Kluyveromyces lactis: one gene and its partners. The protein of the gene in region 2 interacts with the protein of the main gene of each other region in a biochemical or structural test. Links are inferred from orthologs where the notes say so. Each region holds a gene or a part of one and is shown on either strand. Other genes may lie near its edges.

Region 1 (2,678 bases), on a different chromosome or scaffold from region 2:
ACTGGTTTATTATCTCCGCTGATGCAAATTCCAGATCCATATTTTATTGATATCATACACTCACCAGACGTAACGAAATCCGCAAGCTTAATTCTTTTGGCAAGTTGCATGACAAGACTTGTATTATTACCGTTGGATCTCGTCAGAGTTAGGTTAATTATCTCTTCTGTTCGTAACGATGGTTCCCTTTCTGATAACGATAGATCCTTAAGAAAATTGTTGAGAAAATGGTCCTGGAGGGAAAACATATCCAAACTAAATAAGGAATTGGTCTTTTTGAATATATTATATTCCCTGGTAGGGACAGGATTTAGCAAATTAACCGGTGCAATACTATATCATCAGTTCAATGTTGACAAATTCACTAATGTGATTCTGTACAACACATTAAAGTTCTGCAGTAAAGTTTGTGAACTCTTCGTAAAGCTACCAATTGAGAATCTATTGAGAAGGAGTCAAGTGAAGTTCTTGTTCACAGAAAACCCATTCCAAGTACAATCTGAAATGTTAATCATAAAACCAAGGGAGTACCAATCCATCTACCTGACGGTATTCAAGCAGTGCGACAGAATTAGTGAACTATGGCGAGGCTGGAGACTCGGGCTTCTAAGCATTTTATGCGGTTATGGTTTGAAGATTTTAAATAAGCCATCAGAAATACTCGAAGAGGAGAAGTTTTAGTTCATGTAGATATCTATAAGTGAACTGGACATTGAAGGAAAACATACATATATAAAATAATAATAATAATACAGATGTCTTTAGTTTAAGAAAGTCGTAAATTCATATCTACGATGAAGGCTTCTGGTTCATTTCGCTTGCATCAATCAAGAACTGGCCTAATACTCGAAGTGGATCCTCGGGCTTTTCTCTGGCTATCAGTTTCATTCCTTCCAATAAATGTTTTGTTACATGTTCATTCAAATATCTTCTAGTGGTTGACCCACCGATCATCGCTACTGGATCAACACGATCATGATCAATTTGTAGTTCCTTCTTGGGTGATACTTCTCTTTCTGTTGTAGCTGCAGTTGCAGAGGTAACAGTTCCAGATGATTCCCTTGGTATACCCGATGGAGACAGGGGTTCAGTGGTAGAAATCGAAGAGACGCCAATATCCGGTACAATATGTTCTTCTTTCTCAAGTTTTACCACATCTTCAGGTGCCATATTCTCCATCACTGGTTCTGACATGTAGATAAGCTTCAGTTGTGGCAGGAGACCAGGATTGGAGCTTTATTCGGCCAAGTCTAGGTGTAGATCTGTCCATGTATATAGTCAAAACTCAGTGATTTTTCAAGATTGTCAATAATAAAAGGAAAATAATAACAAACTGAAATCTTAAACAAAGTTCACCAAGGCAGGTACAATTCGAGCTCCCCAAGAAACAGACCGCACTGAATCAGGTAATACCAATATTATATCAAAATTAACCACCAAAAGCAAAGAGGACAAAATGGATCCATTTATTCAGGTTTTCAAGGACACAGAGGAACAATTGAACCAATTATTGCAGATATTAGATAGGAAGAAGAAAGGGAGATCGAACACCAGTTCGAAAGAGATCTCGGAAATCATCTCTGAGGCTCAAGAGACTATCCAAGATCTAAATGAGAGTATAGAAATGATGAAACAGGAACAAGCTATTCCCGAATACGAAATTCAGACCCGTGAGAAGTCCATGGCAAACCTGGAATCAAAATTGAAACAATGCCAGTCGTTAAATATCGAGACAACCCGCGACACCGATGCAGCTACCCAATCATCATTGCTGCCGCAGCAACAACAGCGTGGCGATTCCTTCGATTTGGACATCGAGGCAACTGCAGGCACCGACCAATCAGACGCGGCAAACCACGACGCCGTACAGGAGCAATTACTCCGTGAACAAGACAATCAATTGGACATGATTCACCAGACAATGCAAAACATTCATCTACAGGCATCTACAATGGGTCAAGAACTAACAGAACAGGGCATGATTCTCGAAGAAATGGACGGAAATGTCGACGGAGTCATGAACAAACTTTCCAGAGGAAGACGACAACTAGAATGGGTCTACGAACACAACAAAGAACGTGTCAACGACTGCTGCATCTTTCTCTTAATCATTGCATTGATCATCCTACTAGTACTAGCATTCATTTTGTGATGTATATCACCGAATTTGAACCGGGAACCAAACAGAAACCAAAAAAGGAAGAAGACGATGCACATTCCCGAGTAACGAAAGGTGCGAAGTTTCCTAAGAGAAACTGACACAATTCTTGACCCCCCAGTTGACGGATCGTCATCGTCGTCGTTCCATTCCTCTGATAGACAAAATACCTCTCGACACTGTTGCGGTATGGAAAAAAATCGGAAATCACAACATACGACAGCGGCTTTGAAATCGTACCACAATGGAGCTTTCGAACTGATTTTTTTGTTGAAATATATAGAAAGTATGGAAACTGAGAAATGGAAAAGTATTAAGACCAAGTTAGTTTTTAAGGTACAAAAGCAAAAGGTTGCTTGCTGGATTGGGTTTTTTGCACGTCAAGCTACAGTGTCAGATCCAAGACTATCGAAGAGAGCGATTTCATTTAAGAGGCGAAGGGCACTAGGATTAGGACGGAGTTGATAATACTTACTGGCATTCATTCCCGGATTTTCTGTGTCTTGTAATTATCGTTTGT
Region 2 (2,534 bases):
ATAAAATTACCAGTAACGTCGATTATAATATTGTAAAAGCCTTTTCAAAGAATTATATATTTATATGTTTATACAAATTTGAGTATTAGGTACATTTTCTTTACCAGTATATAACCACATAGTGGTAGACGGGAATGAAATGCATTTCTATTCATGTCAGAAAAATGATGAAGCATGGCCAAATTAATGCTATAGTTCTGAGAAGAATAAGTTTATCTGCTAGATTTTTTAAGGTAAACATATATGATCAACAGAAATGCACATGCAAATGTCCCGGTCTAAATAGCATGTATCAAAAAGGAAAGAAAAAGCACAGAAGCTACTGTTAATGCCAGGCTTCCATGACTAATCCATATCGCATCTTTGCACAATTTAGATGGCATCACATGGTCTGATGGAATATCGTATAGAGTATCGGATTGATTTCGTATCATTAAAAGTAAGAATCGTGATAAAGCAGGGACAAAAAAAAGCATAAAACTGTAGATGAACGGGTTTCAAAATGAAATAAAACAGGAACCTTTGAGTTCAACCCTATGATAATCTTGAGGTTGATATTCATCCTATTCATTTAGAAACTCTAGCTGAAATGAACTGCGATAGGAACGATGATGACAATCAAAAGTATAATTACCACTAGAACCAAACACATTCTCATCTTCAAATCTTTCCACCACATTTGCTTTCTTACTCTGTTGGCCCCTCTTTTGAAACCTTGGGCGGACACGGCCAAATTGTCAGCCTTGTCTTGTATCGATGTTAGCCTTTCACCACGTTCGGCAACTTTGTTAATGTTATCTCTCATAATATCGACGGTATCATCGATTTCCTATTTGTAGAGACAAAACAGACAGACGGACAGCAATCGTCATGTCGTTTCAACTCAAACTGTTAGTATCTTTGAAGTTCATATTAGAGCTAAAGTAAAATAGTTAAATGCATTTCAAACATACGGATTTCAAAGCTGCAGTCTTTGAGTCACCTGCGGTCTCTTCGGTAGCAGGGACATATGGGTCGTATGGAACAGATGATGACATTGTTGCTTAATTATTTTATACTTCTCAGCACCTAAGTTCCGGTTCAATTGATAGCAAACTATTATTTCACAACTACTAGTCAAATCTCACTGCAAATTGGTTAGTACTTTTGAAAATGGTTCAAATCCACCATGATAAAGGTTTAAAAGCCTGTTTGTTCTTTAAATTAACTTCTAAATCTATCCATTTTTCGATTTGCCGTTCAAAAAACAGTACCGGGGACAAATTGCCACCGTCAATAGTGATTAGGATTTGAATCTATACGTGCATAGTGATTAATGGTTTGTGAATCAAGACACGAAGCCTTACGCGTAAATGATATTTTACTACATAGACAACAAAACTATGTTACATTTACAATCTAAATAATCCTCCGCTAAAGCACGTCATGGCTACTACTATAAGGCTAATATCAACTAGAACATTTCGACAAATGTTGCAGCTTCCTTAACGATGTACAATCTCCGAGAAAGAAGAACAAGATATTTTAAACAACAGAATGGTGTAGTGCGGAGGAAGCAACGCTCACAGGGCGATTCATGTCTGTCAGAAGTTAGCTCTGTTAATACACTTGTCGATGATGATGACGATGAAGGCGTTTATTCTGATTCAAATTGTGGAGAAGGTGAAGACCCGCACTTTTCATCTTGTGAAGAGAACACTGAAATGTATCCAAAAGATGACGATGATGATGATGATGATGATGATGCAGGTGAAATCACGAACAGTAAATCAATCCCAACAGAACCTCAGAATGAGTCTGAAAAACCTATGTTCAACAGAGCAACATAAAACGATTCCTCATTCGAAGCTCGACAGAATGTCAATAATTGCAAAGTAGCAGAACAGGGCACGACCATGCAACAATCAATTCGTTCATCTTCAGTAAATGAGCATGGAACTGCTATATCTCAAGAACTGAATGGTTCTTTACAGTATACTGGTACTGTCAATATTATCCAAACAATTTCGATTCCTTCCTCAAACTGGGACTACTCTGGGAGTTCAAAAAATAAACCACATGACACTTTCCTTCAACCTAGCGACTTCCACGGTTATGGCAGTTCAAGTGACTCAGATCGAAACATAGATTCAAAATCGACAGCCATCCAGCGAAGCGAAACACATGCTAACGAATATCTCAGATCAGAAGCAGCATTCAAGAGGAAATTCAACTTCGGGTTCGAAGACTTTTCTTTTAATCCCTTCAGTAAGCCATTTTTAGTCATGGGTCCAGGGGAAGATAATATTCGGGGGCAAGTTGAAAAAAGATTCAATGCTTGGCTCTCGTCCTCTCCTTATGCGATCTGGGTTACTAAGGTAAAAGATGAATCACCTTTTGCAGTGTGCAAATATGAGAAATGTGAACATAGATTTACTTTAGATGGAAATCCCACCTCATCAAATATCGTCAGACACCTGAGGCGACAACATAATCGTGATTATGAACTTTTTAGGAAACGTTTAGTGAATGAACAGAGAGTGCTCGATTCATTT
Region 3 (2,694 bases), on a different chromosome or scaffold from region 2:
GGAGAAATATCTACATTGTATTGGTAGCACAAGACGTGAATCTGCAAAACTTGCTCAGCGCTCCGGAAGCATCATCAGTAGCGAAGAAGACGATGAAGAAGGTGTGACCTTCGAGAAACTGAAACAGAACCAGTTAGCCGAAGAAGAATCACGTCTAGTAAATGAATTAAGGAGGCGTCTATCTCATACCACTATCAATTCAGCTGATGAAGATGAATTAGAATGTCTTCCATGAACAGCGCTATGCTATTCTGACCGGCCTTTTTCCATCACTATTACTATCATTATCATTATTATTTTTATTATTATTATTTCTTATATCGTTCTTATTTTATATACAACTAGATAAGTATTCAAAATCAGATATCATTTATACACGGTAAATTGTATTCTTCTCATGAGAGTATAAAATTATACCACAAGGGTCAAAATTAAAATTATATAAATTCATTACTATAGCTATTCTGCTTAAACTTGCATTGAGACTGAACTAAAAGACGCAGAGAAATCGATTACTATTTGAATTTGGAGAATATCACTAACAAGATAAGTAGTATCAAAACCGCTATTATTGCGTAAGAAATGAACTTATTGGCTATGAGTCTTCTAGTCATGGTTTTCAAAGTGCGAATACTCTTGTCGACGTACGAATCAGCATGGAACAAAGTTTGTCTTGCATTCTCCAATGTTTCTCTTTGAGATCTCAAATCCATCATTATCTGTGCACCAACGTTCTCAGTCTCGGATGCCAGTCTTGTAGCATCCTGTAATTTATCACCAGAACGTTGTAAAAGCGCATGGTTCGATAAAAGCTGTTGCCTTTGTTCATCATTATCGAAGTGGCGACCTTCAAGTAACTTATTCCTATCGCTTTCTTGCACCAATTGCTTTAAAGGATCCTTAATTTCATTCTGACACTGTCTCTTATAATCTCTGATCTTTGCTTTATAAGATGCCCTTGTCTTAGAATCCAACGAGTTCCCTGTATTATTCAACTCTATTTCCATTTGATCCACTAATTCTAAAGATTCATCATGGTACTGTTGAATTTGTAAAAGTATATCCGATTTTCCACCTTTTAAAACAGCACCGGCATCATTCTTAGCATTAGCAAGCAAAACCTTCGCCTGGTTTATAGCGACTTGACATTCAGATTCATAGTTCTGCAATAATGAGGACATCCTGATAAAATAATATGGTTCAGAACCTTCCTTTTTATATTATCTCTTCCCGAATTTCACAACCTAAAGGAAATTTAAGGTTTGAATGTAAACTTGCAGGCCAATGTACGTCTGAAGTAGGCCCCGTTACCAGCTATAACAGCTTAATCACCAGGCCTGCTTTTCGTTGATTCCTAACATTAACTTGAACTCATGGGAGAAGCTTCAATAAAGGGAATAGAAAGAAAAAGAAAGAAAAATACATTGTTCACGTGACTTTGATTGAGTCATGTAAAGACCAGTATCTAGATAAGGGCAAACAATCATTTTGAACCACATCCGCCAAATCCGCGGAAGACCGAGGTGGAATCAGGCCCAGAAACGGTCTGTTTTTTTTGTCTTTGGTTTCATTTCATACCGGCGTTTTCATGAACACTGACAAATTGGGAAAAATCCGATGAGATTCAATAATTGAATGATTAACAATAAGCATTTGCCAATTTCGATGTGAACTGAAGGGAGAACTAGATATAAAGCAACCTTTTTTTGCCAAATAAAAGCTACTTAAGAATCAGAGTTGATAAAAGTTCAGGACAGCTTTTTTTCTCATTGTGGTATAGCAGACGGAAAGGGTCTTTGGTTTCCTTTTAGTAACACTTATCGTTGTTGTTTGTGAATTATTTTTAATCATCCATATCTATTTGGAAAAACTCCTGTATAATCAATGATCAGAGGAATATTGACTAGACAAGCTGGGCATCTGAACCAGTTAAGAGCCAGAAGCATTACTTCTCCTAGCATCTCTCACAACATATGGTTAGCCCGTACAAATTTGTCATGGAAGAGATACCATGGACATTTACATAAACCGAAACCGGGAGAAGAGTTGCATGTGACATTCATATTGAAGGATGGAACACAAAAGACTTTTGAAGTGGCAGAAGGGGACTCTCTCTTGGATATAGCTCAAGGCCATAATCTAGATATGGAGGGTGCCTGTGGTGGTTCTTGTGCTTGTTCGACCTGTCACGTGATTGTGGACCCAGACTATTACGACGCATTAGAAGAACCTGACGATGATGAAAATGATATGTTGGATTTGGCTTACGGGTTAACTGAGACAAGTAGATTGGGATGTTGCATTAAAATGAATAAGGATATCGATGGTATCAGAGTCGCTCTTCCTTCAATGACAAGAAATGTTTCATCTTCAGACTTCGAATAGAGAGAATGACTAAACTGAATTCAGTCATCATATGAAAAGAGACAGCTTTAGATCTTTCTTTTTTTCCCAACAGGGGAAGCATGACATGAGTGACACCAGTTGCATTACCTGTAAATAGGAGCAATCAACCAAGCTCGTTCGCAGTCCATTATCATTATTATTATTTATCATGCATCAGTAAAAGTTTCCCCACGCTGTGTACCGGTGCTATCTATGCACAATACATACATAGTTAAAGGTATTTTACTGTTACCCGGTTACCATATCGTCTTTCACATAAAGAAAAGATATATTTGTTGTCCACGTGAC
Region 4 (3,707 bases), on a different chromosome or scaffold from region 2:
CTGCGTTGAATCGTCTGGTGATCAGAAGAAAGAATGTGAAATGGAGAGCTATTTCTCGTCTAAGCTTCGAACGGTTGTTGGATAACTCTCACTGATCAAATTTATACATCTATAAGGGTACGAGATACCCATATAGTACTGTATGTGTGTTCTTCTCCGGGTAACCTAATTTGTGTTTCGTTTCTTTAAAACACTGCAATATGGAAAATTTTAAAGATTTCACTGGATAATTTCTAAGCTCATCTCATCTCATCTTGCGGATGGTTGATTCGGCTTGAATTAGTACAGTTCTTCTGACTTATAAACACTAGTTCTGCTTGTTACGCCAGTATACCACTGCAGATAAATCAACTGAAATTATGGCGACTAGGACACAATTTGAGAATTCTAACGAAATTGGTGTGTTTTCGAAGCTAACTAACTCGTACTGTTTGGTGGCACTTGGTGGTTCGGAGAACTTTTATTCTGCGTTTGAAGCCGAATTAGGAGATGCTATTCCTATTGCTCATACCACTATTGCAGGTACGAGGATTGTTGGTCGTATGACTGCTGGTAACCGTAGAGGGTTATTGGTTCCAACTCAAACTACCGACCAAGAATTACAACATTTGAGAAACTGTTTGCCAGATGCTGTGAAGGTTCAAAGAGTTGAGGAGAGATTATCTGCGTTAGGTAATGTTATCTGTTGTAATGATTATGTTGCTTTGGTTCATCCAGACATCGACAGAGAAACTGAGGAGTTGATTGCCGATGTCTTAGGTGTTGAAGTTTTCCGTCAAACAATTTCGGGTAACGTTCTTGTTGGTTCATATTGTGCGTTGTCTAACCAAGGTGGTCTAGTGCATCCTCAGACTACAGTACAAGACCAAGAAGAACTTTCCTCTTTGTTGCAAGTCCCACTAGTTGCTGGTACTGTGAACCGTGGTTCGCAAGTCGTCGGTGCTGGTATGGTCGTGAACGACTATTTGGCAGTTACTGGTCTAGATACCACCGCTCCAGAATTAAGTGTGATCGAATCTATCTTCCGTCTACAAGACGCTCAACCAGAAGCTATCTCTGGTAACTTGCGTGATACTTTGATCGAAACTTACTCATAAAAGGAATTGATACAATCGCTCTCTTCTGTCATTTATATCGTTTTGGCCCCCATTATCGCCCCATTTTTTAATGTAATATTGGTGTATATCTCTGGATCTGTATAGTACAATTTTTATTTTGATTGCTCTTTGGCATTTGCATCAACCCCATACTGTTTATTTCCTTCTTTCTTTTGTATTTTGTGCATCGTGGTTCACTAAGTACTACTGGACCCAAAAGAAACCTTTAAATTTAAATGAAACAAAAGAATCGAAAAGTTGTAGTTCCTTTAACATCAATTTTTAGATAGGTAAAGACAAGGTAAAAGGGGAACATCGATCAAATAAGGTTAAAAGGTTGCTGTTACCGTAGTGAAACCATGGGTATTAAGAAGTTCTTCAAGATCAAGCCACCTCCAGAGGCTACCCCCGAAGAAAACCGTGAATATTTGAACGAGTTAGGAATTTCCACCAAGACTACACCATCAAATAGAAGAGAAAAGTTTGCCGCATATGGGAAGTTTGCTAACGATAAGGTCAAAAGTAAGGTCTATGCACCAGAAGGATATGAACAATATGCGAATCCTGGAGCTCAGCCTTCTGAGCGACAGCAGTTGGATGATTTGAACAACTCTCCTTACGATGAAGTCTCCATGATTAACAATAGAAACGCTTCTGCCAGCGCTCGACACACGGGCAACTACGTTGATCCATATAGCAATGATAATGCATCTCCGTATGGGAACAGTGATTCCTCTCCCTATGGAAATGCAAGTGCTTCTCCATATGATACCGGTTACAACGCGCCACTGCAGCAGAACAATAACCCGTATGGATCAATGAATAATAGCTACAGCAACAAAAGCTATGGCAGTAACAGCTATAGTGGTGATACATACGCAAGTCCGTCTCCGCAGGCATCTAGCAGCAATAATAATGGTGCTACCGGTCAGAGACCTAGTAACCCTTATGCTAACATGAACAGTCAGGATCCGTATGGAACAAATTCGTATTCAAATTCTGGTAGCGTGAATGCATATAAGGGCTTTACTCCAAATGTGGCGGCTTCTGATGTTTCAAGTAGATCTTATGCCTCACCTCGTCACTCTACATCTGCAACCAGATCAAACGACCGTGAATTTAATTTCGAACGGTCCGGAGCTGATGACGAAATAGATCTCAATGAGACAATTAGGCCAGAAATTGATAATCCTAAGGGAGTTCAACGCAATGGCAACGGTGATGATGATGATTTAAACAATTCCATTCATGAGAACGAGGGTATTGGGACCCCTGCAAAGGGTTATCAGACATTTGAAGATATTCAAAAAGAAAGTCAGCGTGCTGAACAACAAGAAGAAGATGAAGAAGTAGATGGGATCAAGCAACAGATCAAATTTACAAAACAGAGTTCAGTTGCCAGTACGAGAAACACGCTAAAGATGGCACAGGATGCTGAATTAGCTGGTATGAATACCATCGGTATGTTAGGACATCAATCGGAGAAATTGAACAATGTGGAAAGAAACCTGAATTTAATGCAAATCCAGAACAGAGTTGCCGATGATAAAGTGAGTGAATTGAAGAAGTTAAACCGGAACATTTTAGCGGTCCATGTATCGAATCCGTTCCATAGTAAGAGACGTGCACGCGAAGCGGAAGATAAGATAAAGTTACAAAGGATGCAGGACAAACAAAACCAAGAGGATATCACGTCGACGTTACACCAAAGTACGAAACGTATCGAGAATGCCATGTCGAGTGGACATGGTCCATCTGAAGTTCGTGATCGGTACCAGAACCAGCAGATCTTAGAGAAGGCTAAAAGGTATCAGTTCGAGAACGACGAAGAAGATGATGAAATGGAAATGGAAATCGACAAGAACTTGGATAAGATTGGACAAATCAGTGGTAGGTTAAAGAAACTTGCGATTACCACTGGTAAGGAGATAGATTCTCAACAAGATCGGATCAAGCGGATTGAGGAGAGCACCGATGATTTGGATATCAAGATCCATGTGAACACGACTAGGTTAACCAATATAAGATGAAGGAAGAGTCTTATAAATAAAATGTTAATTAAAAAATGCAAAATGTGAGATCGTTAAAGTCGCCATGGCGGGGGTATACATCATAAACATATTCTATATAATATCAGAAAGTACTGCTGTATCTTATCTATCTTCGATGTAGAAAATGTGTGAAAGCGATTGTGCCAGGAGTTCCACCTGGAGGAGGAAAAGGGGCCAGCATAAGAGAGCCCATATAATCATAGCGTGTTGTTCATAAAGAGAGTGAGTGTGTTTGTGTTGTGTTTGTGTTTAAGTATTGCAAAGTTATTGTGATGTTCAGGAATCCTCTTAACTATCCTGTCAAATTATAGTTCAACCAAAGCTTGTAGTTATCCTCAGCAGTATGATCCGTGTAACTGACAAACTCTTGATCCTTCCCAACGACAGAACGCGGTATCGTCATCATCGGAAGTGAAGCCCCATGTCCTAATGTGTTCCTATCCAGTGACAATTCCAGATCGAAATCCATATCATCTTGATCTCGATCTAGAAGATCATATATCGTGGAAGACGTACTACTTCCGGTGCTTCGATCCAAAGGTTGTAAAAGAGGGGATCT

What was found.
Region 1: the proteins of KLLA0_A03883g (region 2) and TLG1 form a complex in vitro, tested with the Saccharomyces cerevisiae proteins (2 studies listed by BioGRID). The link is inferred for Kluyveromyces lactis from reciprocal best matches to the Saccharomyces cerevisiae genes SNC2 and TLG1.
Region 3: the proteins of KLLA0_A03883g (region 2) and VTI1 form a complex in vitro, tested with the Saccharomyces cerevisiae proteins (3 studies listed by BioGRID). The link is inferred for Kluyveromyces lactis from reciprocal best matches to the Saccharomyces cerevisiae genes SNC2 and VTI1.
Region 4: the proteins of KLLA0_A03883g (region 2) and SEC9 form a complex in vitro, tested with the Saccharomyces cerevisiae proteins (5 studies listed by BioGRID). The link is inferred for Kluyveromyces lactis from reciprocal best matches to the Saccharomyces cerevisiae genes SNC2 and SEC9.

What each region holds. Positions count from the first base shown.
Region 1 is NC_006041.1:318,711-321,388, forward strand, and holds TLG1 (Tlg1p), read left to right. Parts: upstream 1-1,456; coding exon 1,457-2,152; downstream 2,153-2,678. Other genes in the region: mitofusin complex protein UGO1, read left to right, coding at 1-681; SDC1 (Sdc1p), read right to left, coding at 790-1,194.
Region 2 is NC_006037.1:343,145-345,678, reverse strand, and holds KLLA0_A03883g (uncharacterized protein), read right to left. Parts: upstream 1,038-2,534; coding exon 954-1,037; intron 830-953; coding exon 581-829; downstream 1-580. UniProt on the Saccharomyces cerevisiae protein: SNC1 and SNC2 are vesicle-targeting proteins essential for normal secretory traffic between the Golgi and the plasma membrane. They may also be involved in vesicle fusion.
Region 3 is NC_006038.1:899,682-902,375, forward strand, and holds VTI1 (v-SNARE protein VTI1), read right to left. Parts: upstream 1,182-2,694; coding exon 516-1,181; downstream 1-515. Other genes in the region: KLLA0_B10263g (uncharacterized protein), read left to right, coding at 1-235; YAH1 (adrenodoxin), read left to right, coding at 1,885-2,385. UniProt on the Saccharomyces cerevisiae protein: t-SNARE found in various SNARE complexes involved in multiple transport pathways. The composition of the t-SNARE complexes is specific for a limited number of v-SNAREs and therefore allows only the vesicles carrying the matching v-SNARE to fuse.
Region 4 is NC_006040.1:173,297-177,003, reverse strand, and holds SEC9 (Sec9p), read left to right. Parts: upstream 1-1,456; coding exon 1,457-3,127; downstream 3,128-3,707. Other genes in the region: TIF6 (translation initiation factor 6), read left to right, coding at 360-1,097; ECL1 (Ecl1p), read right to left, coding at 3,441-3,707. UniProt on the Saccharomyces cerevisiae protein: Component of a SNARE complex that may be the effector of SEC4 function in exocytosis.